Linked DNA regions of Arabidopsis thaliana. The protein of the gene in region 2 interacts with the protein of the main gene of each other region in a biochemical or structural test. Each region holds a gene or a part of one and is shown on either strand. Other genes may lie near its edges. The genes, in order: AT2G02780, AT5G45780, AT5G51560 and AT4G20790.

The links.
Region 1: the proteins of AT5G45780 (region 2) and AT2G02780 form a complex in vitro, tested with the Arabidopsis thaliana proteins (one large-scale study listed by BioGRID).
Region 3: the proteins of AT5G45780 (region 2) and AT5G51560 form a complex in vitro, tested with the Arabidopsis thaliana proteins (one large-scale study listed by BioGRID).
Region 4: the proteins of AT5G45780 (region 2) and AT4G20790 form a complex in vitro, tested with the Arabidopsis thaliana proteins (one large-scale study listed by BioGRID).

The regions. Positions count from the first base shown.
Region 1 is NC_003071.7:780,196-788,059, forward strand, and holds AT2G02780 (Leucine-rich repeat protein kinase family protein), read right to left. Parts: upstream 4,728-7,864; 5' UTR 4,452-4,727; coding exon 3,191-4,451; intron 3,101-3,190; coding exon 2,979-3,100; intron 2,904-2,978; coding exon 2,657-2,903; intron 2,570-2,656; coding exon 2,376-2,569; intron 2,310-2,375; coding exon 2,272-2,309; coding exon of another isoform or gene 2,247-2,271; exon of another isoform or gene 2,193-2,246; coding exon 2,078-2,192; coding exon of another isoform or gene 2,015-2,077; exon of another isoform or gene 1,989-2,014; coding exon 1,737-1,988; 3' UTR 1,479-1,736; downstream 1-1,478.
Region 2 is NC_003076.8:18,565,475-18,573,541, reverse strand, and holds AT5G45780 (Leucine-rich repeat protein kinase family protein), read left to right. Parts: upstream 1-3,635; 5' UTR 3,636-3,916; coding exon 3,917-4,034; exon of another isoform or gene 4,035-4,111; coding exon 4,112-4,244; intron 4,245-4,329; coding exon 4,330-4,401; intron 4,402-4,483; coding exon 4,484-4,627; intron 4,628-4,701; coding exon 4,702-4,773; intron 4,774-4,872; coding exon 4,873-4,932; intron 4,933-5,010; coding exon 5,011-5,084; intron 5,085-5,165; coding exon 5,166-5,312; intron 5,313-5,402; coding exon 5,403-5,741; intron 5,742-5,822; coding exon 5,823-6,214; intron 6,215-6,302; coding exon 6,303-6,596; 3' UTR 6,597-6,744; downstream 6,745-8,067. Other genes in the region: AT5G45790 (Ubiquitin carboxyl-terminal hydrolase family protein), read right to left, coding at 1-1,197; AT5G45775 (Ribosomal L5P family protein), read left to right, coding at 7,046-7,048, 7,138-7,245, 7,341-7,383, 7,471-7,666, 8,063-8,067.
Region 3 is NC_003076.8:20,942,609-20,950,517, forward strand, and holds AT5G51560 (Leucine-rich repeat protein kinase family protein), read left to right. Parts: upstream 1-3,067; 5' UTR 3,068-3,198; coding exon 3,199-3,637; intron 3,638-4,212; coding exon 4,213-4,473; intron 4,474-4,580; coding exon 4,581-5,441; intron 5,442-5,523; coding exon 5,524-6,005; 3' UTR 6,006-6,331; downstream 6,332-7,909. Other genes in the region: AT5G51570 (SPFH/Band 7/PHB domain-containing membrane-associated protein family), read left to right, coding at 6,903-7,097, 7,199-7,319, 7,422-7,513.
Region 4 is NC_003075.7:11,132,826-11,139,224, reverse strand, and holds AT4G20790 (Leucine-rich repeat protein kinase family protein), read left to right. Parts: upstream 1-2,801; coding exon 2,802-4,059; intron 4,060-4,151; coding exon 4,152-4,450; downstream 4,451-6,399. Other genes in the region: CML42 (calmodulin like 42), read left to right, coding at 5,341-5,916; AT4G20770 (Pentatricopeptide repeat (PPR) superfamily protein), read left to right, coding at 6,139-6,399.

The DNA.
Region 1 (7,864 bases), on a different chromosome or scaffold from region 2:
AATTCTAAGAGCATGATATGGGGTGATACTTATATAGTATCATGAGTAATTTTTTAGTATTATTTATAATATTTGATTTTTATTTGAGATTTTTTATGATACTCCTACTAAATATGATTATATTGGTGAGACCGGTTAAGTATAAAAAAATTTTTTTTGCAAATTCAAAAATTAATATATTATAACATAAGATTACTAAAGATTTTTTTTTTCTCTGATTTGAGCGAAAATATTGACCAACCGTATGCTGCAACGTCACATGATACTGAGTATCAAAGATATCAGTCCACTGATACAAATCAGACCCAAATTTATAATTTGATATAATTTTTGGTCTACTGATATCCAAAATAAATCACCCATTGGTCCATTTGGTGTTCTAGTGGCGGGCCCAAATGAAGCCAATAACAACACCTACAAGGCCACTACAGGCCCAACTCAACAATTATAGGCCCATCTTTATACTGTACCGTTAAGATAAACCTTGTCAAAATGGAATAAGAGAGAAACATCTCTTCTGGCGAAAAAAAAAAAAAGAGAAACATCTCTTCTACTATTGTTGTTGTTATTTTTGATGCTACAAACTACAAAGTACACTACAATACGAGGATTGCTATAAACAATTCAAAATCAACATCCTTTCTTTACAAACCTGAGAAATCAATGAGTCAATTGGTGTTTTTTTCAAGTGTCCCATATCATAACAATGGCAATGACAACAACTTCAAACAACACAGCCAAAAACTTATAACCAGGCTCATCCACATGGACCATCTTGTTTGGTCGATACCCTTTTGCCAATAAATGGTTCATAGACACATAAACAAATACCCCACACGCCAAGCTCATCGAAAGTGCCAATATCCATGACCGTCGCTGCGGTGGCTTCTCGACGCCATGGAACGTGCGTCTACGAGAGCTCACATATCAAACTCGAATGAAGGAAGCTGGTGTGTATGTGTTTGTGATCATCGAGCGTTTGTCATGATCCTGTCTTCTTGTGCCTATCTATCTTGGAGGCTCAAGAGATTGGTCAAGAAGTAAGAAGCTAGTAAAAGCCAATGGTATTGTAACAAAATTTGTTTTGTGAGCGAAAATGCATTGATCAGTAGTATGTATGCTAGGTGAGGTAACTTGGCAAAGCCACTTGCTGTTTTCGACATCTTACCTAACCTGGGTATAGCTATGGTTATTATAGTTATGTGGAACACAAGCACTTGTTTTTAGCTAGCGATACAAGTCATAACAAAGGAAGTTTATAGAATGCTGGATGAGGTAGAGACTTCTGTATTGGAGATTGCCCGAAACACGGAGTGTGGTTGAGATGGAGAGGTTAGACGTGAGCATAGTGAGAGGTTTGCAGTAACTTTTGGGATTTTCTATAGTATTCCAGGCACAGAGATTCTTGTTATAAAGAACCTGTGAAGGTTTTTGAAGATTTTGATGTCTTCATCAAGCAGGTTAGCAAGATTGTAGACTGCTGATTTGTTTTAAGAGATGCACGAATGTTCAGCGAAAGCAAGCGCGAATACAACAGAAGAGTCTGCAATGTTGTCGAGCAAAGCTGGACACACTCTCTTACATGTCTTTGTGTGTTTTTCAACTCCTTTTGCTTTTTATTCACAGATTACTAAGTTAGCTAATAAAAGATATTTCAGGTAGTCCATGAAACTACATCTTGACTTGTTTGAAACTTATTATTGTTTCTACAGTTTTTGCCTCTCTTTATGATCATTTCATTCATATATTGCTTTCATGGATGATTCATGATTCCCACTGCTTGGTCTCCATCCTTGCTGCACTTGAATTGTATACTGTAGATTCCACACAACGTCTTCTATGGAAGGACGCTTGCTCTGATCTTCGCAAAGACAGTTGATAGCAAACTCTACTGTCGTCCTCAACGACTCATAAGCATATGATCCTTTAACAGATGGATCTGCTAAGCTGCTCAATACTGATGGTTCATCTCTCAAACCGTTCTCCAGCTGCAGGAAATAATAACATTGAGGTTCTAAATTTGTAAGCCGTGTCGGATTCTTAAAGATGAAAAGGTTCTGACTGAAACAGAACAGACCTGAAGCTTCAAACTTCCCATCTCTGAAGATCCTGCAGCAACTACTTTCCCTGTGATGATTTGTAGTAGTATCACTCCAAACTGGTACACATCTTCTTTCTCTCTATCTTCATTACTGCACATTATTCATTAACAAGTTTCAAAATTTGATAGAAGAGAACACATTTGATCATATCTTAAGAAACAACAACAACCTCCGAGGTTTTTTGGCTTGAGGCCTCTCTTCTCCAACCTAGAAATGCCATTAAATTTTCTTAGATTCAATTAATAGAAGAAGAAATAAAACAAAGTTTTATACCTTGGATGGTAAAGGAATAGTATAGCCACTGATTTTTACTGTGAGTGTTTCATCAAGCATGATGTTCTCTATCTTCAAATTGTTCCCAAAGATTCCTGGTGCTACTCCCATATGCAAGAACTGTATCCCTCGAGCGACTCCTATTGCTATCGCCATTCTCTGAGGCCATTTCAGTACCTCTTTCTTCCTACAGTCTGATCACAAAAATTCCCATAATGAATAACCATTTGAGTCTATGGAAACCTGAATATATATTCTAATCTTTTTCAGGTTATTATTACTTGTGAGAAAGTCCCGCAATGATCCACTAGAGATGTATTCTTGAACAATGAAGATGGTGTGTCCAGCGTGTTGATTGTGGTCTTGGTTACTGGCAATGGAGTGTCCAAGAACGCTAACCAAATGCATATGCCTTAGCTTTGATAAAACTTCCATCTGTTGAGCTAAGCTTTGTGGCAAGCTCTTCTGCTTCAGCTTGATAACTCGCACTGTCACTGGTATGCCTTCTCTTAGACAACCTCTATACAGCTGTTCGAATACCAAATATATTAAGTAATCTATTAGGTTCGTCGCCAGAGTCTCAAGTCAAGTTTTTGTTTTTACCTGTTCGCAGAACAGGCTAGCTGCATCAAAGTCGTTAGTCGCTTCTTCCAGTTCCTCCAAGGAGAAAACGCGGTACGGTGGCAAACCAATCACTGCAGATCTCATTGTCTGTGGTACACGTCCTACACTCAGAAAGATCCTGTTAATGGTTTTTGCTAGAGAAAGACTCAGTTTCAAGTGTCCAAGTATTAATAAGATAAGTCATTGTTTACTTGAATCTGGTAATGACTTAGAGCTGGCAGTTGTGGTGCTGCAAACAGAGACTTTATCAGAGGCATGTCTCTCATTGTTGCTGTTGTTCACTTCAAAAGGATCATCTTCTGATCTTGATCTTCTTCTTTTGAGGGCAATCAAAACCAACAGAACCAAAATTGCTGCAAGGATGATCACACCGATGATTATCAAAATCACTAACCCGAGTTTGATTCTTGCAGAATCTTTATCTTTAGCCTTGGGGATAGGTTCCACAGCTATTGCCTTGCTTGCTTGGTTTTGACAGAAAGAAAGCGGACGCTGATACTTCGCGTTAGGAGTGCCAATCAAAGACAAGCAGTTGAATGAGAAAAGCACTGTCTGATTACTGAAACTCTTTGAAGAGTAGCAAGAAGGAAGCTTTCCAGTTAAAAGATTGTGAGACACGTCTAAAGTTATAATCTTTGAGGAGGTGCAAGAAGAATTTGGAAGTGACCCGCTTAACAGATTCTGATCCAAACTGAGAATTTGAAGAGAAGGAATCGAAAACAGAAACTCTGGAATCGACCCGGTGAATTCGTTGGAAGAAAGGTCTAAACTTTGAAGGTTATTCAGCTTCTTGATCTGTTCTGGAATCTTGGATCTAAAGGAGTTGTTCTTCAATGAAACAGTGGTGAGCTTACTTGGGAGTGAAGGAACTTCAGGACCGAGTTTATTACCTCCCAAATCCAGCTCTTGAAGATTTGATAATCCTCTGAGATCATCAGAGACAAAACCCCAGAACATATTGTCTCTTAAAACAAGGCTTTTCAGATTCTTCAAAGACACAATCTCTTCTGGAATCTTCCCAGAGATGAAATTAGAGCTAAGATTGAGAGACTCAAGAGACGGTGATAGCTTAGTGATGATCTTAGGAGAAAGAGAACCAGAAATTCCGAGAGAAGTAAGAGACAAAGTCTTTAAGCTCGATAGTTGTGTAAGAAGAGTGAAGAGTTTATGAAAACTTCCAGAGAGCTTACTAGTTCTGTTCCCGGTGACGGTTAACTCTGTTACGTGACCATGGAGGCAGATGATTCTCAAGGAAGGAGACGGACGAATGTGACAGAAGTTGGTTGTATCAGTCCATGATTGAAGAACCTGTGGATATTGTAGTTGCTTCTGGATTTCAAGAAGAGTTTGTGATTCACTTGAAGCTACCTGAGACTCAGAGAGTACTGGAAGAAGGAAAATAAGAAGAAGAAAAGTGAAGGAAGATAAATGGATTTGAAGAGAAATCTGCATAGTGAAGATGTGTTTTGCCTTTAGAGAAACAGAAACTCACTGAAAGTTATCATTTTTCTAGGAACAAAGACAGATCTATAGGTAGTGTAGAGGAAAACTTTGGATCAAGAGAAGAAGAAGAAGAAGTAAATGAAAGTAGAAAAGCCAATTAAGGTGGAGGCAATAAATGCAATCTTTAAGTTCTTAAACTTGGTTTGGTTGTTTGTTCATTACTGCACATTGCACAACCTCAACTTGACAGACTGTTTTGCAATGAATCCAAGAAGATGAAATGTTTATTTATTTGATTTGATTACTACTATAACAAATTAACAATAAGAACTTGTATTTCACATGATTTTTGCTTTGTTTTATTAGTAAAACAAGTGCTTTTGGTTATATATGATTGATCAGATAAGATTATAGAGATGTTTCATTACTTGTCGGTGATAGGTAATGAGGATTAAGAAATTTATGTCGTGTTTTGTCTTCGAGAGAGAGAGAGAAGCCATTAGGTTTGTGTCTTTTCTTTAAAAGTGTGGTTAGAGATTCTACCAAATGTCGAGCTGTTTCTTTTATTCTGATGAACTGTTCATTTACTAATGTTAGAAAATTTGAATGGATTTTATATGATCAAGCACATCTGCACATGCAAACGGCCTTGGAATAATCGTCACTGCGAAAGTATCATTTAATATTTTCTGCAACAGACATTTTTTTTTTATCGAAAAATATGCATTTAAAATTCAATTATTTAATTTTTATTAAAATTCAATTATTTAATTTTATTAAAATTCAATTACAAATCAAGTTTGACAAAAAAAAAGAGAGGTTATTTTGGGCTTCATACGTGTAACATTTAGCCCGTATATTATATATAATACGGTTAGGCCCAAAATTGTACAACCTTTGAGTCCATATATATTTCCAAATATTTTAGTTTCTATATGATTTTTTTTTTTTTTTTTTTTTTGACAAGTAATTATACAAAAAATGATTTACTTAACATTGGGACATATATGTACTATGCTTATTCCTTGTGAATGCTAATACAGTAAATTATTTATAAACTAATCCTCGATAAATTACTATTTTTACAAATTAATAAATTCTTGACGTTTTCAATGTAATAAATAACACAAATCAATGAAATTATAAAATAATAAGTTTTTAAAAACTCTTACGTAAACATATGATCTCATCAATATCATAAATTAATAATTTTACACTTATTAATATATATATATATATATTTAATTAAATTAGTGGGATTTAACTCTAGTATTGTTCATTTTTCTTAAATTTGTATAAAATTTTTAGTAGAGTTCATTTCTAATATTTTTACTATATTGAACAAAGTGTTTTTTGTTTACTAACTTAACAATTGGTTTTTTATTTGTAATTTATTTTTGAAAGACATTGATTATAAAGACAAAAACTACTTCTCACATAGAAATTTTAAAAAATTACAAAATTAATAAAATCTCTCTATAAGATTTATTAATAAATTAATACCTTTATAAATTAATTAGAATTTATCGGTTCCGAGATTATTAATTTATTAAGGTTTAAAACTGAGCCTATAAACAAAAGAGGAGGAACAAGATCGTATTTCTAGGGTCTCAAACTACAAAAATGTAATGTATGAATTCATTGTAATCTATTTCAGTTTGTTTTTTACTTAGCTATTTAGGATCCTAGAATTTATTTATGAGCTTCTTTTGATTAAACAAAACTTTCGATTATTGTGTTTCAAGAAAAGTAAACTTCTCGGATCCTAAAACTTTGATTAGACGTCATAACATGTTTTTTATTCAGAATCTGATTTGCAGCTTTTTTGCCTTTCATTTACTGTTTTACACTAAATATATAGACAATCATCAAAATTTAAAATCTTCTATTTAGTTTTAGCTCATTTATTAAAGATCAACTGTACAAAAGTTGTAAAACAAATTCCAGTGAATGATGGTAATAAGAAATAACTTAAAATGATTATAAAGTATTACATGTTTATAGCTAAACCACATGATATGACACTTAACATTCTAATAGTTTAATTTGAATTTGGATGGTGACAAAATGATGACTCTAATACGATTTAGTTTATCTTTTGTTAATTATGTGTGTCTATCTTTCTTAGATATATTTATGTGAATGAAATAATTATTTATATGTTTTTATTATTTGATTAAAATCAATAAAATTTGTTGTAACTTAGAAATCTAGGCTTATTTCGAATTTATCTCAAATTGAGATCTAAGATTAAGTATGAGTGTTTTTGGATTGATGACAAGAGTTTTAACCATTATAATACGTTTCTTTATAATTGTAGGATTACTGCTCATGGAGGCTAATTGATCGGCATTGAGACAAAGAAAAAGTTAGTTTTCGTTTCAGATTATGATTCTATTTTTTTAGTTAGTGTTTTTTCTTTGTTGCTTTTAATTGAATATAGACATTTGTTGGGCAATTGTTTATGTAAGTCAATATGAGATAGACTTAGAGGAGTAAACACAATTGTTTATGTACGTCAACAGAGCGATTTGAGTAACGAGAATGAAAAGAGTCTTTCTGTTGTTTTAATCAGCTTTTGATAATATTTATAAAATATTCGACTTGATCTGTTAATTAAATAATTTGAAATTCAAGTATCAGTTGTTCTTATACCAAATTACAGTTTTAGCAGTATATTTTTGTAAATGAAGTGAAGATTATAAAGTATTATATGTTTATAGCTTCTTTTTTTGGTTAACTATTTATAGCTAAATCATATGATATGACACTTAGCATTCTAATAATTTAATTTTAATTTAGATGGTGACAGAACGATGATTCTAATAAAATTTAGTGTGTACTATAGATAATGTCATAGTTAACGTAGTAATAATTCATTACTACAATAAAAAGAAAAAAGAAAGTTTCTTTTTTTTTTGGTCATTATGTGTTCATCCACTTTGGTTGATTGACTTATTGTACCACCCTTACACAATTTGAATAAACGTAATTAACAAACATTTAATGCGTTTCAAAATCGGGAATTAGCAGATTAACCACTTGAATAACGACAGCATTAATTCTCAATTAAATTTTTTTATTAACTCAACTAGAAAATAAAGATATTTAAATAAATTCCAATACATTGTACAAATAATTGGGCTCATACCACCAATAAGCCCACTAATAAAGCCCATTATTAAAAATCAGACAAAACACAGTCGTTTCATCATGCCTTTATTGTTCCGCTTTCTCTGCTTTTGTTTTTATCTCTCTCTCACATTACAAACGGTGAGTGTAATTTCTCACTGTAACCACTTTTTGGTTTTTTAGGTCACTGCTCCGACGAAGACCCTTCTAACAAGACAACATTTTGAAGAACATAACAGTAACGATTCGCTACATTGTGAGCTCTATTTCAGATTCTACATTTTAAATTC
Region 2 (8,067 bases):
CATTCTCGAATAACGCGTTTTCAACAACACAAGATCAAGCATTTTCCTCCTCACATTGTATATCGGGTTCGGCTCAATCAAACACCCTTTGCTATAAGCTTCTCTTAGAAACAAAGTCTGACTACTTCCTTTCGTCGACACATAGAAAATCCCGGGATGTTTCAATATAACTTCCCTCACGTTTACTTCAATACCAAGATCCTTTCGAAAATGAGCTAATCTCTCAACTTCAACCATTTTCTCTACCGTTAAGCTCAGAAGCTCATGGATAACTGCAACAACACGCTTCTCGAATCGCTCTAACCCTCGAGAAATCTCCTTTCTATCATAAGGCTTCACATAAGGAACCCTTTGCCAATTCTTTAACTCTTCTCTAAACCCTTTCTCAATCTTGAACCCTGTAGGAAGATGAATAGGAAACGCGTAATTCGTCTCAAACTTACTTAACCATTTCTCTCTATATTCAACTTCTCTCCACTCCTCAACTTTTGCCACACACAAACTCTCATCATCTCTATCAACTAACTCTAAAGTCTCCAAATCAACTAACCTGAACTCTGAACTATACTTAGCTAAAATAGAATCTCGAAAATCCTCAGGCAAACCCAATTCCTTTCTAATCAACCTCAAAGCATGTACACGAAGAACACCGTGTTTCGACAACAACAACAACTTCTTTACCCTCTTCACAGCATCAACCTCACACTCTCTAACAACATTCTCTTCCTCATCAATCAATACCTTAAACTTCTCAGTAATCTTACAACAAAGATTCTTACTAAAAGGATGTGTAAAGATCTCAAAAGCATGAGGATACTTACCGATAAAAGCTCCAACATTTACATTCAAACCAACGAGATTCTTCCATCTAGACATAAGCTGCAAAGAAACAAAAGGACCACGCTTTTTGCTAGACATGAGTTTTGAAATCTCGAGGATGATGTTTAGTTTCCTAATCTGGGGAATGATTTTGTCTAATTGATGATCTCTTGTTCGATTCTCTAACCTTGTTTGTGCTGAATCTACAGGCTTTAACCATCTTCGTTGATTGTAGAAGTAAAGTGGGCATAAAAATGAAGACTTTGTTGGGTTTTGATGTGTCAAAGCTTCTCTAATGCTACTGTATCTCAAAGATTTTAGAGAATTCATATCTTTTTTACTGTGAATTTCGGGAAAAAGGAAACATTTTTCGAACATCGATCACCATTTTAGAGAGAAAGCGGCGGAGAGAGAGCGAGAACGACAAACGAGTTTAGAGAGGGTTCGGTTTTTAAGGCTGGTCGAACCAAACGGTTTTTACCTGAACCGAACCGAAATTTATCAAACCGAATTTGAATGGTATTTTGTTGACGTGGCATCAAATCATACATTATTATCGGGCGGCGAAGCTTAGGACTCTTGTTTAGGTATTTGCGTTAACTGATCAAATGATTCAAATTACATCTGCAAAACATTATTTATAGGTGTAGAAAACACTAGTTTAATCACTTCAATAATAATAATTCACTAGGAGAAAAAAGAAATTGCTTCTCTAATAATAAAATTGTTCAAATTATAATAATTTTAGTTTAATCTCCAAATCATTTACGTAACAACATGAGAGAGAGAGAGAGGAAGAGAGAAGAGAAGTGGGTACCGAGATAGATTCAAACACTTGATCTCAAGTTTCTGTGGTAACTCAACGATTTGGACGAGATGTGATCTAATGGTTAATTTAATTGCTCGAGTTATTATTCAATACACTTAACTATTAAATTAGTCAAAACATCTATAATTCCCTAAAGCGAAATCAAAAATATAAAACTTAACAAACAAGTTTAAAAGAAAAAAATTGTAATTTACTGTATAAAAAAATGTTTTATTTGATATTTAGAAAAAATAAATAATACAATATTTATTTTATTATTTAATTTTCATAAATGATTGAAAGATGCTAACACTATAAATTTAAAAATATCTTTTATTTTAATTACAAAACTAATATTTGTAAGTTTTGTTCAAATTATTTCATGCACCTACGAAAAATGGTGGATCCACGTGACTTTACAAAATAATATATGGTTCAAAATCTTTAAATATATGAAAAAACAATCACATTAGCAAAACATTAACTTAAAAATGATAAAAATACTATATGACAATATGACATGGACGAATTGTGTGCATACACAACCTAACCAATATTCAGAAAATAATTCTATATTTTTAATGATGTCGTAAGCAGTGGCTTTGGTGAATTATGCCATAGACCGTCTTTGCCACTTTGATACCATTTCGAATTTAGTTTGGATCATCTTATCGTTCACATTTTTGCTTTATGATATATTTGCGCTTTTATTACTATTTCATAGTATAATTTTACCCACATTCTAAATGATATGTATGAGAGATTTTACAATGATTTGAGATCAGTAGCAGAAATGCAAACATACTAACATAGGTAATATAAAAAACTCAAGAAAGCATTAGATCCAAGATCAATTATATCCAAACTCAAAACTAAAAAGACCAAGCTGTTTAAGACCAATACATAAGTAATTTAAACAAGAATTTGTAAAATTTACTCTACTGAATTACAAGGTAAATTATTTTAGTTAGTTTGTAATTCTACCGTTTGAAGAGGATAGTTGTTACGCACTTGCAAAAAAGGATACCTTTTACACACTTGCCAAAAACGTTGTGTATTGGGATACCGAAAATTATGGTATCTCAAAACACGTTGACCCCGTTACGATTAAGGCGGTTGGTGACCCTAATGAACTTTTTCTCGGTACCTTCAGTTACTTTGATTCTACCTATATCGACTCTACCTCAGTCATTTCAGGTAAAAAAATTTAATATTATATTTCTAGAAAAATGTTCTTTAATATTATACTTATAGAATCTTACGTGAGATGACTTTGGTGTGGATATTGTAGATGAAAAGCAAGCAAGTGACGTTATTATCAAATCAAAGATCATTTCTTGGGCGAAGGATAGTCCTGAAGTTGCAAATGAACTATTAATTGCAGGATATAAAGGGTATCGGTATGTACAAGACCTACTAAAAACTCAAGGACATAATGTTTTTTTGGGATAGATCTCTGAAAATTCGTCGCGGAATTATTTCATGTTAAAATGGTATGAGAATGGAAGCGATTAGCAGAGGAATGAGGACCATTAACACATGAAGGAATTATATGTCCTAATTGCAACGAAAAAGTGTAAAATGAGGCTAAACAAGATTTATGGAGAAAGGGTAAAATGACTAAATCAGCCGTGCATGAGCACATAAGCATTATATTGCATGTTTTAAGAGTCTTGAAGCTTGAAGACTTTGCTATTACTCGAAATGTTATCAAAAATTAATTAAAACTTGATAATTATTTTAGTCGCAAGATAATTATTTTTTGTTATTGTTACAAAAATCATCACCATTCAAATATTGTGTCACACCATTTATTCCATACTAACCCAACTTATTACTAACCCAATATCGTTCATACGAGCATTAGTCTTGAGCATTATTGACTTTTTCAATGGTGAAATAAAGATAAATCAAGCCGTTGATCGGAATACCATATCAGATTCAAGAGTGTGCTGTTGTACCATTGTTCTCGTAGAACCGATTACAGAGGATCTAATCTCACTAACACTGTCAAAAGTCAGATATAAAAACAAAAAAAAGTCTTACAGAACAGAAGACAAGGAAACAATCGTTTGACAACTTCGAGGATTTTCCCGCTTCCATTTGCTATAATCGTCAATTTCTTTATTTGTCTTCTTCTTCTTCTTCTTCATCTCGATTCAATTTAATGCCAAAAAAAACTTATCTTTTTAATGTATTTATAATGTTTCAAATGGTCTGCCCTAGAAGAAAGGGCATACAAATGATAACTAACATTGAAGTCTAGAGAATTCTTATACTTTTTCTACGATGGAGATTTCTTTGATGAAGTTTCTGTTTTTAGGAATCTGGGTTTATTATTACTCTGTTCTTGACTCTGTTTCTGCCATGGATAGTCTTTTATCTCCCAAGGGTGTTAACTATGAAGGTGAAAAAAGTATCAAAGATCTTTCTTTTATTGTGTAAAAAGGTTTTGACTTAATCCATATTTTTGGGTTATTGTAGTGGCTGCGTTAATGTCAGTGAAGAACAAGATGAAAGATGAGAAAGAGGTTTTGTCTGGTTGGGATATTAACTCTGTTGATCCTTGTACTTGGAACATGGTTGGTTGTTCTTCTGAAGGTTTTGTGGTTTCTCTGTGAGTATCTTTTGCACACCACTTGTTCGACTAAATGTCTCTGAGAAACGTTTCTTTGCTGAGTTTATTGAAATCTTTAATGCAGAGAGATGGCTAGTAAAGGATTATCAGGGATACTATCTACTAGTATTGGGGAATTAACTCATCTTCATACTTTGTGAGTTAAATGAATTTGTGGTTAATCTTGGAATTCAAGTATGTGTTGTTGTAACTAATGGGGTTACTTGTTATTATTGTAGGTTACTTCAGAATAATCAGTTAACTGGTCCGATTCCTTCTGAGTTAGGCCAACTCTCTGAGCTTGAAACGCTTGATTTATCGGGGAATCGGTTTAGTGGTGAAATCCCAGCTTCTTTAGGGTTCTTAACTCACTTAAACTACTTGTGAGTTTGATGCAAAGATTCTTGATTTACTTAATGTTGCAATTGTTATTTTCTTACAAGGTTAAGTCTTGTAGGCGGCTTAGCAGGAATCTTTTATCTGGGCAAGTCCCTCACCTCGTCGCTGGCCTCTCAGGTCTTTCTTTCTTGTATGTCTTACTCTACCTAACATTACAGCTCCAGGAAATTTCTATTTCGTATAATGTTTCTTAGACTAATGTTTTTTTATTTATGAAAAACTTGAATAGGGATCTATCTTTCAACAATCTAAGCGGACCAACTCCGAATATATCAGCAAAAGATTACAGGTAAGATATGCGAAAAATGCATGATTATTAGCCGTTGCAACTTATGTGAAAGCTTCTTGATAAACTTTTCTGTTTTAGGATTGTAGGAAATGCATTTCTTTGTGGTCCAGCTTCCCAAGAGCTTTGCTCAGATGCTACACCTGTGAGAAATGGTATGTTGCTTCGAAAATTCTTTGCAAAACTTTATTTAAAACATGGTTTCGTTTATTTAACTAGCTGCAATCGATCTGCAGCGACGGGTTTGTCTGAAAAGGACAATAGCAAACATCACAGCTTAGTGCTCTCTTTTGCATTTGGCATTGTTGTTGCCTTTATCATCTCCCTAATGTTTCTCTTCTTCTGGGTGCTTTGGCATCGATCACGTCTCTCAAGATCACACGGTACATATCTAATAGTCTCTCTCTGTCTGTCATATACAATATATGTCAAGACTTTGCTAAAATCTGCATTACTTTTTATGGATTTCTTAGTGCAGCAAGACTACGAATTTGAAATCGGCCATCTGAAAAGGTTCAGTTTTCGCGAAATACAAACCGCAACAAGCAATTTTAGTCCAAAGAACATTTTGGGACAAGGAGGGTTTGGGATGGTTTATAAAGGGTATCTCCCAAATGGAACTGTGGTGGCAGTTAAAAGATTGAAAGATCCGATTTATACAGGAGAAGTTCAGTTTCAAACCGAAGTAGAGATGATTGGCTTAGCTGTTCACCGTAACCTTTTACGCCTCTTTGGATTCTGTATGACCCCGGAAGAGAGAATGCTTGTGTATCCGTACATGCCAAATGGAAGCGTAGCTGATCGTCTGAGAGGTTTTCAATTAACACATTTCTTGTTTTGTTATTCTTTCGATATATAACGCGAAAAGTTCCTTATAAGATTACATGTTTCAGACAATTATGGAGAAAAGCCGTCTCTAGATTGGAATCGGAGGATAAGCATTGCACTCGGCGCAGCTCGAGGACTTGTTTACTTGCACGAGCAATGCAATCCAAAGATTATTCACAGAGACGTCAAAGCTGCAAATATTCTACTTGATGAGAGCTTTGAAGCAATAGTTGGCGATTTTGGTCTAGCAAAGCTTTTAGACCAGAGAGATTCACATGTCACTACCGCAGTCCGAGGAACCATTGGACACATCGCTCCCGAGTACCTTTCCACTGGACAGTCCTCAGAGAAAACCGATGTTTTCGGATTCGGAGTACTAATCCTTGAACTCATAACAGGTCATAAGATGATTGATCAAGGCAATGGTCAAGTTCGAAAAGGAATGATATTGAGCTGGGTAAGTAAAAAAATTCTATGAGTCATTTACTCAACTTAGACTGAACCCATAAGGACAAAACTTAAATCTAAACCATTGGTTTTTGTAGGTAAGGACATTGAAAGCAGAGAAGAGATTTGCAGAGATGGTGGACAGAGATTTGAAGGGAGAGTTTGATGATTTGGTGTTGGAGGAAGTAGTGGAATTGGCTTTGCTTTGTACACAGCCACATCCGAATCTAAGACCGAGGATGTCTCAAGTGTTGAAGGTACTAGAAGGTTTAGTGGAACAGTGTGAAGGAGGGTATGAAGCTAGAGCTCCAAGTGTCTCTAGGAACTACAGTAATGGTCATGAAGAGCAGTCCTTTATTATTGAAGCCATTGAGCTCTCTGGACCACGATGATAGACTTCATAGTGTCTTAACTAGTCTTCTTGATTTTGTTGTCATTGTCATGGCATTAACTGTAAAAATTTGTTTTCTCAATAACTCTTATTTATTCTGTTCTTCCAAAAATAAATGAAGATTTGCGTTTCCACAGTCTCATAAAAAATTATCTATCGTTAATTTTAAAACTCATACATAATAAAGTGATTCGGCGAATGAAAGACTATTTGCCTTATGTAACTAAGAAGGCCAAATATATGCTTAAGATTATGCTTTTCTTATGGGCTTTATAATATTGGCCCATTAAACCATTTTAATAAATCAAAGGGGTAATTTCGTCATTGCGTTAATTCAAGAAACCCTAAGTACCGACCCATATAAGTTCTCTCACTTTGCACTCGACGCAGTTTTGGGCTTTGCAAACTCTACACTGCTTCGTCTCTTAGCTCGACATTGATCTCCTTAAAATGGTATTTGTTTCGTTCGTCTCTGTAGATCGATTCAATGAAAATGTGTTTAGTTCAATGGGTTTATTTTTCGGCTTTGTTTTGTTTCTCAGGCGTCGGAGAAGAAGCTCTCGAACCCCATGAGGGACATTAAGGTTCAGAAACTTGTTCTCAACATTTCCGTTGGTGAGAGTGGTGATCGTCTCACTCGTGCCTCCAAGGTTCGATTTTGTTTGTAAAAATCTGACCTTTACGATTATCCATCATTGATTTAGTGATTTAGATTTGAATTATTGTTTTTGGTTATTTCGTATAGGTGTTGGAGCAGCTCAGTGGACAAACCCCTGTCTTCTCTAAGGGTATGTGAATTTGAAATCTTTCAGGGATTTAAGTTTGATTTTGTGTTGATCTTGATTCTGATGTATGTTGTGGTTTTTGTTATACAGCGAGGTACACTGTGAGGTCTTTTGGTATCAGGCGTAATGAGAAGATTGCGTGTTATGTGACTGTGAGAGGTGAGAAGGCAATGCAGCTTCTTGAGAGTGGTTTGAAAGTTAAGGAGTATGAGCTTCTTAGGAGGAACTTCAGTGACACTGGTTGCTTTGGATTTGGTATCCAAGAGCACATTGATCTTGGAATCAAGTAAGTTTTCTGTTTCTTTTGCGATGAAAGTTTCCTTGAATTAGTTACATTAATGGCTTTGTATAATGGTTTTGGTACTTGGATTCTTCATGTATCTGTATATGTTTAAAAGAATTTCAGTTGCATCTAAATGTCAAGTCTCTAAATTAGGGGTTTTGTGAGGTTTAGTCAGAATGCAGACTACTTTGGTTTTCGCTGAGTGTTATAGTTTTTGTGGAATTTTAAGTATGGATTGGATTAAAAATGAGCCCTTTACTAGTTTTTGGTTGAATGCTAGATTTGGGTCTAGTAAAAGATGAATGCTTTACTGTTTTTCAAGGGTGTTAGATTCGAAACTGATTAACTGGTTTATTTGAAATGTTTACTGTTCTCATGTGTTTTATTTTGTGTATATAGGTACG
Region 3 (7,909 bases), 2.4 Mb from region 2:
TAACCACGATTCTACATCATCAATTCCAATCATCAATTCCAATCATCAAAGAAAGTGTTAAAATTTCGATTTTTTTTTGAAATTTCTAATGTGACTATTGAAAAGAGAAAAGAGGTGAATAAAATAGGGACACATGAGCAGTGATGGTGTATACGAGGTGCTGGTGTGTATCCCATAAAAACTATTTCCCATAATTCGCATTTGAAGGTTCCAATGAGAATATTTAGAATTTCGTTTTATATTTTACTCTTCACCATACAAAGTATCATTCCCAAAAAAAAACGATAAAAAGATAAAATATCGGATAATAGCTGTTCGTTTGTCCTCGTCAGCATAGTTCCACTAAACCAGTTATCGAAAACTAAATTTAGATTTTAGATACATTTTATAATTATCCAAAAACAAAGAGAAAAAAAATGAGAAGTAAACAAAACAAAACCTGGGAAGGATAAGGAGGATGGGCCCGTCTCAATCGCGGAGCGAATTGCGCGGCTCTCTTGTCAATGTATATATTGATGTGAACACTTTTTAAATATTTTTACAAAACACTTATAAAAAAAACGAAAATGTTGTTTTGTAAAAATATTACAAAACAAAATCCAAATAAAATTTAATTATATACTAGTCAGCAAGCAGAATCGTACAGCTGAGATTGAAAGCTCTCTGCTAAAATGGGCCACTAAAAGTTTATTTTTTGGCTATTGGTGGGTCTCACTTGTTACACTGACGTTACGGTGACACTGAAGGACAACCACTGACGCCAGACAGGCAACACCTGGCATATATGTGGATTTATACGCTGACCTGGCAGTGTTGACTCCTTGTTTTAAATGACACGTCATCTGAGTGTGAAAGAGACAGACGTCGCGTGAATTTTGCGGGACTTTTTTTAACTCCCTAGACCGCGTGTGAAGTGTACGCTCCGGTGAATGGTGAGGCCCATCGTTAGTTTTGGTCGTGTTGCATTTAATTCGTTTCATAATGTTCTTTTGTAGACTTTAGTGGTGAATTTAATTATTTTGTAAGGTGCGATGACTTTCTTGACAGTGGAAATTTTTTCACGTTTTCACAAACATGCATGATTGTTTATTTTCAGTTCGATGATTAGTGACCTGTATTTTAAGTGACAGTGAACAGGAATCTCGTTTTTCACCACAGTTAATTGGGATGCGATTCTTGTTATCTAAGTTAGAATCGTGGATGCGATGATGAAGTTTGTATTTTCTATTGATATTGTTTTACCCAAACCCAAGAGTCGAGAATGAATTTTTATGTCGTTGCTATTTATTCTGAACTTATGTCGTAAATGTTGGGATCAATAATTTAAGGTGACCGAGTCGTGACCCACATGAGTGTCGAGTGATTATTACAGCTTCGGTGAAAACGAGTGAAAAGTGAAAACGCAAACATTATTTTTAGGATCTTCTCTTTTGCTCACGAAGAATTGTAGTACTATTAGATAATCTCATAATCCTGAATGAGTGTTTTTAGTGGGATCACAATCCGAAATGACTATTTAAGCGTTAAGATTCAAAACAACTTCACATATATATAACCTTCAATGACTTCAATTTAATATATAGTTTGAAATTTAGTGTGAAAATCAAAATAATCGAACCTCGTTAATATTTTTAGTTTCATTCATGTTAAGTAATTCAAGCCAATTTTCCTTTTATAGTTTCTCTGCATGCAAATTTATATTTAAAGTGCGTGCATGTTGCATCACTTCAGTAATATGGTAGAATGCAAATTCGTTAACCGTCTCTATAGTTCATGACTTCATGATAGCATAAGAGATAAAATGAATTCAGGGATTTATGTGTAATCATTAAGGAATGAGAAAGTCACATAAAGCATGTAAAATAATTTTTGGGTCGTTATTTTTTTTTACTACGATGAATCTCTGCTCTCTTTTATATATTTTAGTCATGACTGAATAATGACAGGCAATTTTAATAATTTAAGATAAGTATGCGGTATGCCATGATCGGTAGACGGTAGCTCAATACAATTCCGACACAGAAACTAGTTTTTTTTTGGGTATTTGATAATGGGCCTTTTAGCAATTTTCTAAAGCCCAAATTTATTATTCTTGCTTCACGCAATATTGTTTAAAGCCCAATTTAGAGAACATGATTTCCATTCCGAATTCGTCGCCCAGTCACTTATTAGATTAATAGATTGCATTGCATTGCTTGTGCTTTCAATTTACAAATTGTCTCCCAACTCCATCGACACATCTCTTTTTGTGTATATAAGATTCAGACTTGTTATATTTTTTTTATAAATATGTTATTAGCATCTTAAGTTAAATTGATTTTTTATATCTGCATTAAGGATTACACGACTATATTTGCGATTGTGTGTTGGTTAAAATATAATTTAGGATTGTCTTTAACTACATTTAGGATTATATGACTATATTTGGTTAAATATAAAATCTAGCTGTGATTATTAGTATTCAAAAATAAGTAGCCTAACCAATTAAAACAACGGCTATTGGGGCAAATTAGAACATTTTAGTGTGTCCAAAATATAATGGTCATTAGGTCATATTCCTCCTAGCTTCATCGCAGCATAATTGAATGATTGCCTTATTTAGAAGAGCTTTTCCACTTTCCCAAAATCTATGTGGGATCTTTTTGTTTTGACCTTCATTTTTCTTGTTTACCATTTTTAGCTAAATTATTTACGATTACAAAAGATATCAAAAGTTGGATCATAATACAATTTATAGACTTACTGTAGAAAATTCGTATGTACAAGTACAACAAATTCTTCATAATAAATTTTGAAAATTCTATTACAAATGTTGTAAGAAATAGAATTTGAAATATATATAAACTAAGGAGAAAAAAAAAGAGAACATGCATTGCTCTAGTCAGAGTGGACCAACATCAACGAGATAAGATAACATAAAAACCAACTCACCATAACTAAAAACATCCCAAGAGATCCAACGATTCATATCAAACACAAAAACATCGAACGATCAGATTTAAACCATCTCTGGTATCTCCAAAACACAAACACTTTTTTTTTTCTTTTGTCTGAATGGAACAAAAGCATGCGACATCTCTGTGTCTTTATCTTCTCTCTCCTCTTCTTGAAAAACTGAACCTTTAATTCTTTCTTCACATCTCCTTTAGCTTTCTGAAGCTGCTATCTTCAAGCTCAAAACCAAACCCTAGAAATAAAATGACGGCGACACAAATGCTGCTTCATCTTCTTCTTCTTCCACTTCTCTTCCTTCACTTCAGCAACCAAGTCATGGCAGAAATCACCGACGAGTTAGCGACATTGATGGAGGTTAAAACAGAGCTTGACCCAGAAGACAAACACTTAGCTTCATGGAGTGTTAATGGAGATCTGTGTAAAGACTTTGAAGGTGTTGGTTGTGACTGGAAAGGACGAGTTTCTAACATATCTCTACAAGGGAAAGGCTTATCTGGTAAAATCTCTCCGAACATTGGAAAGCTTAAACATTTGACGGGTTTGTTCTTGCACTACAATGCTCTTGTTGGAGATATTCCTAGAGAACTTGGTAACTTGTCGGAACTTACGGATCTTTATCTCAATGTTAATAATCTCTCCGGTGAGATTCCTTCAAACATTGGGAAGATGCAAGGCTTGCAAGGTTAGTTCTTTTTTACTTTAATTTTAATCTTAATCATTGATTAAACTTAAAACCTAAATTTAGCATTGTTAGATCTTTGGTTTCTGCAAAATTCTTGTCCCAAGATTAATCAATGTTCTGTGGAGATTTGAAACCTAGAAATCTGAGCTCCTTGTCTTAGGGGTTTTAGTTACTTCATTACTATCTCTGGTAGTTGAAATTATTTGAATTAGATGATTTTGGAATTTAATGCTTTAATGATCTGTCTTTAAAACGTCCTTTTCATGTCTTTTTGTTAGGATTTTTCTTTTTGTAATTTTCCTGTAAGGAAGAATAGTCAAGAACTTTTTAAGATTCAAACTTTTAATTGGAACCATAAATGGCTTACTGGTCCCAAAATATGGACTTGAATTGAAGATAACTTGTACTTCTCTTGATTAATTTTGTTTATTTAGATAATTGATTCACTTACTTTCAAAAGGCTTTATATTTGAGCTTTAATTAGCAGGACCAGGTTTCTAAATCTAGAATTAGTTCTAAGTTAATGTAAGTCAAAGCTAAGCTTCATTCCTTTTTTGGTCTATGTTGTTGTGTAGTTTTGCAGCTCTGTTACAACAATTTGACTGGAAGCATTCCTAGGGAGCTTAGTTCACTGAGGAAGCTGAGTGTTCTTGCTCTTCAATCTAACAAACTCACTGGAGCTATACCTGCGAGTTTAGGAGATTTAAGTGCTCTAGAGCGGCTAGATTTGAGCTACAATCATTTGTTTGGTTCTGTACCAGGCAAGTTAGCTAGCCCTCCTCTGCTTCGAGTTCTCGACATCCGCAACAACTCCCTCACTGGCAATGTACCTCCTGGTTAGAAAACTGATTCACTATATGATCTTTGAAACTAACTTTGCGTATTTTGTGAAGTGTTTCTCATTTTGGTTTATATTTCTTTCTCTGTTGTACCGATTTGACAGTACTGAAGAGATTAAATGAAGGTTTTTCGTTTGAAAACAACTTGGGACTATGTGGAGCTGAGTTCTCGCCGTTGAAATCTTGCAATGGCACAGCTCCTGAGGAACCTAAGCCATACGGTGCAACCGTGTTTGGTTTTCCATCCCGGGATATACCAGAATCAGCTAATCTACGGTCACCTTGTAATGGAACAAACTGTAATACTCCTCCAAAATCTCACCAAGGTGCAATCCTTATTGGTTTGGTTGTCTCGACTATTGCATTGTCTGCTATTAGCATCCTCTTGTTCACGCATTATCGCAGACGCAAACAGAAGCTTTCAACCACTTATGAAATGTCGGACAACCGTCTCAACACCGTAGGAGGAGGTTTTAGGAAGAACAATGGTTCTCCATTGGCCAGTCTTGAATATACTAATGGTTGGGATCCACTTTCAGACAATAGGAATCTCAGTGTCTTTGCTCAAGAAGTTATCCAGAGCTTTCGATTCAATCTTGAAGAGGTTGAAACTGCTACACAGTATTTCTCAGAAGTGAATTTGCTTGGAAGAAGCAACTTCTCTGCGACTTACAAAGGAATCTTGAGAGATGGTTCTGCTGTAGCGATCAAACGGTTTAGTAAAACAAGTTGCAAATCTGAAGAACCTGAGTTCTTGAAAGGACTCAACATGTTGGCGTCTCTGAAACATGAAAACTTGTCAAAACTTAGAGGCTTCTGCTGTTCAAGAGGCCGTGGAGAATGTTTTCTCATCTATGATTTTGCTCCTAATGGAAATTTACTGAGCTATCTTGATCTCAAAGATGGTGATGCGCATGTTCTTGATTGGTCCACGAGAGTATCCATTGCTAAAGGCATCGCAAAAGGTATGAGTTTTATTTATGCCGAACCAATTTTGTTAGCGTTCTTGATTCATTTTTGTTTATGTGTTTGATGTTTTGTGTTTAGGGATTGCTTATCTACATTCATACAAAGGAAGCAAGCCAGCATTGGTTCACCAAAACATCTCAGCGGAGAAAGTTCTAATCGACCAGCGATACAGTCCTCTACTCTCAAACTCAGGCCTCCACACACTTCTCACAAACGACATTGTCTTCTCTGCACTCAAAGACAGTGCAGCAATGGGCTACCTCGCTCCAGAATACACCACAACCGGACGTTTCACCGAGAAAACCGATGTCTACGCTTTCGGGATTCTTGTGTTTCAGATAATCTCCGGGAAACAGAAGGTTAGGCATCTTGTTAAGCTTGGAACTGAAGCTTGTAGGTTCAATGATTACATAGATCCAAATCTTCAAGGAAGATTCTTTGAATATGAAGCCACAAAGCTAGCTAGAATCGCGTGGCTATGCACTCATGAATCTCCCATTGAAAGACCATCCGTGGAAGCTGTAGTTCATGAGCTAGGTAACTGTAGTAGCTGTCTCTGAGAACTCTCTCGAGGCAAATGTGTAATGTGTACCTTAGGAATCAATTAAGGAAGGGTTTGTTAGTCACCTTTTCCTGTGTTTAGGGTTAAGAAAAAGGTGCCTTTTCCCTTCCCATTAACGTTTAAAAACTGTTCAACGTGTTGTACTTTATTGGTTTGTATGATTTGTGTTTATGTTAAGCTCTTCAACCTTAGAAGAAGACAAGACAAGTACATTACTTTTAAAAAATTTCGGTAGATGGAAAATATTTATGGTACTTTGTCTTCTTTTTTTTTTATAACTTTCTGAACCAATTTATTGTCAATAATTCAATATAGAAAAAAAATAACGTATAACATTTTTTTTTCTGATATTGATCAAATCAATATCAAAAGAATTGATTTGTTAGATGGTTTTGATTTAGATTTGGATATGAGCTTTAACTTTTAAGTCTTTATTAGTCATCTAGATCTAGATACAAATTTATAAATATAAAGTCAAAGGTTAACTATTAGCATTGGCCACCAGATTCGAATAATTTACATGATTTTTCTAGACTTCAGGATTAGATTTTGGACCTAGTAAATTTTTAGAATTACTTGAGTTATTTGAAAGAAATAAATTAAATTATTAGTTGTCCACAAAAGACAGAAAAAAATATCAAATTATACTTTTCATTGGTCAAAAAAGGATTATACCAAATATCTAAGGAAGGAAGATATTGTTGATATAGCTAATTAATCAGTAACTAATCCTAACCGTCCATTTCTCCTCAAACCGCTTGATCTAACGGTAGCAAAAGGCTTCGATCACATAACACCATTTGTTTCCATAGAAACGAACGAGTCGTGGAGATTTATAAGCGAGACTTCTTCTTCTTCTTCTTCTTCTTCGAAAGCTTGAGAGTGCTGCGTAAAAATGGGTAATACGTATTGTATCTTAGGAGGTTGTATTGAACAAGCTAGCGTTGGTGTGGTCGAACGTTGGGGTCGATTCGAGCATATAGCTGAACCGGGATGTCATTTCTTCAACCCTCTCGCCGGTCAATGGCTCGCCGGAGTTCTCTCCACTAGGATCAAATCTCTTGATGTCAAAATTGAAACCAAAACTAAGGTTCGTGATCACTTATTCCTTTTGATCCTTTGCGAATTTTGGTTAATACTGTATGTGGTGAGATTCATGTAAATTAGGCTTATTGTCGTTGTTGTTTGTAGGATAATGTGTTTGTGCAGCTGGTTTGTTCGATTCAGTATCGTGTAGTGAAAGCTAGTGCTGATGATGCGTTTTATGAGCTTCAAAACCCTAAAGAGCAGATCCAAGCTTATGTCTTTGATGGTAATTTTTTTGCTTCTCTGTTGATGTTTTTTGTTTCTTTGTTTGAAGAAGCTCTGTTTTGATTCTTGATTTGTTCTTGTATGTTTGTTTTTTGAATCATAGTGGTTAGGGCTTTGGTCCCAATGATGACGCTTGATGCTCTTTTTGAACAAAAGGGTGAAGTTGCCAAGTCTGTTCTTGAGGAGCTTGAGAAGGTATAACATCTTGTTCCTTCACTATCTCATTCATTTGTATGTTTAGAGACTATTTATTCATAATAGGATATAAGATATCTGTTTTGAGATTCTTGATGTTTTGTAGTGATCCTGCATTTGTTGAGCTAACTAATAGGTGGATTATCAAGTAGGCATGTTTGGATTTCATAAAGAAAAGTTACAACGTTAAGTATATGTTTGGTTTTGTTCAAGACTATGTTTTCATTTGTGAGATTCTTGATGTTCTATCGTGATCCTGCATTTGAGATAACTAATGGGTGAATACTGAGTCTTGTGAAGTGTTATCATAGATATGTGTGGATTGCATAGAGAAAAGTAATAACATATATTCGAGGGTAGCCTGCTTTCGAGACTGGTGAAGACTTTTGTAATGGT
Region 4 (6,399 bases), on a different chromosome or scaffold from region 2:
CCAAAAGAGGTGTCAAATACAATAGTAGCCTTGTGTTTTAAAAACACACATTCCGGCTGGGTTCGACGAAACAAATTGGATTGGGTTTTAAAACTCATTTTAGGCCCGTTAACTCCAATTCGTATTAAGTGAGCCCAAATATTTGAGCCCGATAGTTTCATTACGTTTTTTATCCAAATAACTTCTGAGCCCGTGTTTATTCTGAGATTGAGTTACTTTACTCTTCTTGGTTTTTCACGAACCCTAGCCACAGTCGGTGTACAACAAATCGAGGGTGAACGAGTTCGAGAAGAGAGACGTTTGAGAGAAACCCAGTACACCAAATGGGTACACTATAATAGTACACCAAGTGAGAACACTAGAACAGTACACCACTAGTACACTAGACTAGTACACTAGCCAAGATAGAATATAATAGTAGACTAGAATAGTACACCAAATGGGTACACCAATTAGTAACCAAGTGAATTAAAAACAGTACACCACTTTGGTGCACTAGACTAGTCTACTATTATACTAAAAACATTTAGGAAATGCAATGGAATTAAAAACTATACCCTAAAACTATACACTAAAAGACATTATTGAAATGTAGTGAAATTCAAAACTATACACTAAAAGACAAAGAGAGAAGACTAAACCCAAGGAAAACCATATATCATATGGAATAAAGTTTAAAACTATACCCTAAAGCCTTAGATTACTAGAATTTAGAATTCCAAGTAAATAAATAAATTCCTAATTCAAAATCATAACCCTAGATTATTATTATGCTTCATAACACTTGAATTGAAATATATTGTATTATAATTTGGATTGATACTTTGACATTCTAGAAGTAGACTAGAATAGTACACCAAATGGGTACACTATAATAGTACACCAAGTGAGAACACTAGAACAGTACACCAGTAGTACACAAGACTAGTACACTAGACTAGTACACCAAATGCGTACACTATGATAGTACACAAAGTGAGAACACTAGAACAGTACACCACTTCGGTACACTAGACTAGTACACTAGCCAAGATAGAATACTAAACAAAAGACGTCGTGACCAACCATGGAGAATCTTCGCCGGAGAACTTGTTCAAGTGATTTGAAAGTCTGAATTTTTTCGCAGTTAATAGCCTTTCCTGGCCTAGTTTTATCAACCTTGAAATCCCACCAACCATTGGAGTAGCAAATCCACCGGCCGACCATGGAGACGCAGGATTCATCGTCCCCTGAAAAAACGAAAACAGAGTCATCGTCTCCATCGTTATTTGTTGGCCGTACACTCAATTTCATAAACTGTAAAGCTTCTTATGATAACTCATACCTTCCATCTCGACAGATTTTGACAATGTGTGTATGATTTTCGAAGTGACGAGGGTTTATCTTCTTTTGACAATGACGACTTCAGAGAAGATGTCGACGACGAGAGAAGTTTATGTTCAACGAGGGTTTAGGAGATAAGTTTATGTTTGGTTTCAATGTCTTGAGGACAAATGGGTTTGAGTTTTGTGATATTAGCCCATGACAAATCTTGAATTTTGAATGATATTGGGCTGGTTTGAATTTGGCCCATTAGTTTTCATCAAAACACAAGAGGGGTAAAACGGTCTTTGACTATTTGCTGTATTAGAGGAGGGCTGTATTAGAGAGGACAGAAGAAACTACCCTATCAGCCTATTTTTAAAAAAACTGTCTAGTTCTCAAATTATTTCCCTAAAAACTGCCTAGTTCTCAACTTATCTCAAATGACTATTCCTCTCACTTTTTGAGTTAGTGCTCATGGAAGTAGCATTTAGCTTCTGTTGAATTCACCTTTTAATGCGTTGCATTAGTGTAAAATTCTCTAACAATTAAGAAGCCTGAGTAAGTTTGCAATAAATTTTATTTTCTTTATCAAAAGTTTACCTTTTAGCTCCTGTTGAATTTCCATTTTTTTAAAGATTCATTAAGACAATAACTATTATTTTTATATATTTTTATTATTCTTAATTAAGAAAATACAAAAAATTATAAAATATGTTAATAACAAAATAATAAACAATACAACATAGGAAACTATACCAATTAAAGAAATTAAATGCATATAGATTAGATGAATAAAAATAGAAATGTAGAAAATTAAAAATTATATATATGATTCTATAAATCTAAATTTTAAATTAGGCATATTAATTTGGTAAAATTGCAGAAATATAAAGTTCATTGGATATAAAGTGAAACTATTGAAGATTTTATTGATAGTAGTTTATATAATTCAATTCAATTCTCAAACAAAAATTATATTTAACATTGAGCACATTTACCAAATAATTATCGACTCAAATTCACCCACGTAGATGTTTGTTGCGCAAGAAAGAGAAAAAGTTTAGAACAAGATAAATAGACCAAAGAGACAAGAAATATATGAAAGGAATTCGAGGCACAATCTTACAAATACAAGCAAAACCATTCTAGATAATTTTTTACCAACTGACATAAACACATTATTATGTGTTCAATGACAACGAAAATGATAATTAAACATTGAAATTTGTTTTCATAGTGGAGCTATTGTAAAAAGTGTAGATATTCACAAAATTTAAAAAACTTCACAATTATTATTATTTTAATAATCTTCAACTTCCAAGCACACGATCACTAAAAGGAAAATGGGCGCGTAAATCTCATCCCACTCTGTTTCAAAATAACCGCCAACAACAACAACACCTCCAATAACACAGAAACTACCTCTCTGCTTCTCTCTCTAATCTCACCCATACACGAAACCAAATAACGAAACCTATTTGCTCTCTATCTCTCCAATGGCGTCTTCTCTGTTCTTCATCTTCTTCCTCACGTCACTACTATCATCCTATCTTCCTCTCTCAGTATTCTCCGCAACCGTCGTCGAAGACCTCGCTAATCTAAGTCCACCTCCTGATTTCAACACCACTATTTCCAACAACTGTCTTCGTGATCCAATGCTCCGTTACTGCAACAACACTTCCTCTTCTCCAATGGACATTGTCGAGATTTTCAGATCCACAATCGTCGCTAGTCATCTCTGTAACGAGTCCAAAAACCCTAACTGCGTTGAATCTTTCCCTAGAATCAGAATTCACGGTCGTCCTAAAACCGCTGCTCTTTACCTCTCTTTCGATTTCTTCTGGAAGTACTGTCCTTTAACCGTCGTTGATATCGAGTTAGTGAATAACTCTCTAACGAATGGTTTTCCGACAAATGTTCTGTCTTGTGCTCAGATTCGTACTCTTGATCTGAGTTACAACCAATTCTCTGGTTTTGTTCCGGTTCAAGATCTCTCAGGCTTACCCAATCTGACCCATTTGAACCTATCGTATAACCGATTCTCCGAGAATAAGATCTCGGATTCTGAGTTCTTCAAACGGTTTAACGCCTCTAGTTTCATACAGTCCGGTGTTCTTCCCAACGTGAAGCGTTACAAGATGAAAGTTTTGGTCTTGTTGATTGTTTTTCCAATAATGGTGATTTTGCTCTGTTTTTGCTTTGGCTGGTTATGTGTCAAGAGACCTGATTACTTACCAAGAACATGCCGGAGAAGAAACAAGTTCACATTCGCGATGCTTGAAGCAGCAACGGATGAGTTTTCAGATCAACATCTTGTGAGCATGAGCAATACAGTGGATATCTACAAAGGAACGTTAAGAGACGGGACAGAGACGAAGATCGAGGTTTATAAAGAGAAGGTTTCGAGTGAGAAAAGGCGTGAATTCGCAGAGGTATGCGAGATGGTTTTTAAGTTACGACACAAGAACTTGGTAAGAGTGTTGGGTTGGTGTAATAGTAGAAACATGAGAGCTTTGGTTACAGAATGGATTCAAGGTGAAAATGTTGAGACTTGGTTAAGTTCGTCAATGGCTTTATCATGGAGAAGAAGGTTAAGAGTAGTTCTAGGAGTTGTAGAAGGTATTTGTTATCTATCAGATCAATGGCCAGAGATTACATTTGATCTCACCACAAGCAGTGTTTTGTTATCCGATGATAATCAAGAACCTTTGATTTCTCATTTCAAGATTGGAGATAGAAACAACTTGTCAACAAGTAAGGCTTCATCTTCTTCTTGCAAAAATCAAAACCTTTTTAAGGCTATAAAAGCTAAGTCTGTTGTTGTTGTTGTTGTTGTGTTATTACAGATATATTCAACTTTGGATTGTTTTTTGTGGAGATGATTACAAATCTAAGACCTGATTTGGGACAAGAAGATTCAGAAAGAAGGTATCTTGAGTATATAAGAGTTCATTATCCGGATAATCTAGAGAGAGTGATTGATGAGAAGATGAAGATTGAGGGGAGAACATTTGATCAAGTTAAGCAAGCCATTACGCTAGGACTGATGTGTACTGATATAATACCACCATTAAAGCAACCAAGCTTGACGCAGATTTATGACTTGGTGAGTTCATTGTATGAGTCTAGTTCACGACATCATTGAAATACCTTGTAAAGCTTTATTGGTTTCTTTTGATTTTCAGACATCTGGTGTTAGATAGTATTGTAAGGATTAAAGACATATTTGTGTGTTTTTTCTTTGATTACTATAAGTACTGAGAGAATTTGCAGAAAATGAGTACTTAATTTGCAGACATGAAATCTGTAAATGGGCTTCATTTCTGCAAATGGGCTTTATTAGCTGAAATGGGTTTCATAGTTTTATGGGTTCTCAAATGACCCGACCCGGGTTGGAAGATATAGAAACTATACACTGGTTGGCAAATGGGAACGTTCGATTAAAAATTCGGTAACTACTACGACGTGACTTGTCTCTTCTCCGTTGAAAAGCCATCGACAGTTATGTATGAGTGTATCATTTATCAACTTGAAAGCAATTTCAGTTTTTAAAATAATCCAAATACTAATAAACCAGAAATTAACCCATCATCAAAGCATTAATAATCTTCATTACCATTTGAAACCGAAACTTGTATCACAATTAAATAACGATCATAAAATTAGACGTTTTTTTTTCTCTATCTCCATTTTCCCGGGGGAAAAAAGATCGGATTTTTGTTCTAATGTCATTGTCAAAATATTATTCGACAGATCACAAAAAAGGTGACCGTTTTTTTTTTTTTTTTTTTTTGGCAAAAAAAAAGGTGACCTTTTTATTTTGACATTGATAGTATGAATTATGGGGTCTGATGCTAGAAGTTCTTACATGGCGGGCCAGACAAAGTCAATGCCGGCAACAACGGACTCCTACACATAAATTTTTTAATTCACCAATTGTTTCTCTTCTATAATTAGCCCTCATCACTCAATTTCTCAATCTCAGATTATAATTCCACAAACGAACAAGAAGAAGAAGAAGAACACAAGATAACAATGGAGAGTAACAACAACGAGAAGAAGAAAGTTGCAAGACAATCATCATCCTTCAGACTACGTAGCCCAAGCCTAAACGCACTTCGTCTCCAACGAATCTTCGACTTATTCGACAAAAACGGCGACGGATTCATAACCGTCGAAGAGCTAAGCCAAGCTCTAACACGTCTTGGTCTCAACGCTGATCTCTCCGATCTCAAATCCACCGTTGAATCATACATCCAACCTGGTAACACTGGTCTCAATTTCGATGATTTCTCTTCTCTTCACAAAACACTCGACGATTCTTTCTTCGGTGGAGCTTGTGGAGGAGGAGAAAACGAAGATGATCCTTCTTCCGCAGCTGAAAATGAATCGGATCTCGCCGAGGCGTTTAAGGTGTTTGATGAGAACGGTGATGGATTCATCTCCGCTAGAGAACTGCAAACTGTTCTGAAGAAACTTGGTTTACCTGAAGGTGGAGAAATGGAGAGAGTGGAGAAGATGATCGTTTCCGTTGACCGGAATCAAGATGGTCGCGTTGACTTTTTTGAATTCAAGAACATGATGCGTACTGTTGTCATCCCTTCTTCTTGATTCTCCAAAAAAACATTTTTTCTCCAAAAGATTATTATTTTTACTTTTTGTCTTTTAAGTTTGTATTTTTTCCAGTTTATGTAATGATTGATTCAAACATTATAAACAAATAAATTTTTTCTTTTTTGTACTTACTGAATTTGGCACGAAAAATTCGTACCAAACGCATATTGTCGCCTATAAACAATATTCAATCTAATATATTTGTTTGAAAGAAAAAAAATGCGTAGCGGAGGGAATAAGTATTTAGCGAGTCTCTTGCGTTGTTATAGAGATGAAAGGTGTAAACTTTCTGGGAAAGTTATACATGGGTTCATTGTTAGGATGGGAATGAAGAGTGATACTTATCTATGTAATCGTTTACTTGATTTGTATATTGAGTGTGGTGATGGGGATTATGCACGGAAGGTGTTTGATGAAATGTCTGTAAGAGATGTTTATTCTTGGAATGCTTTTTTGACGTTTAGATGTAAAGTTGGGGAT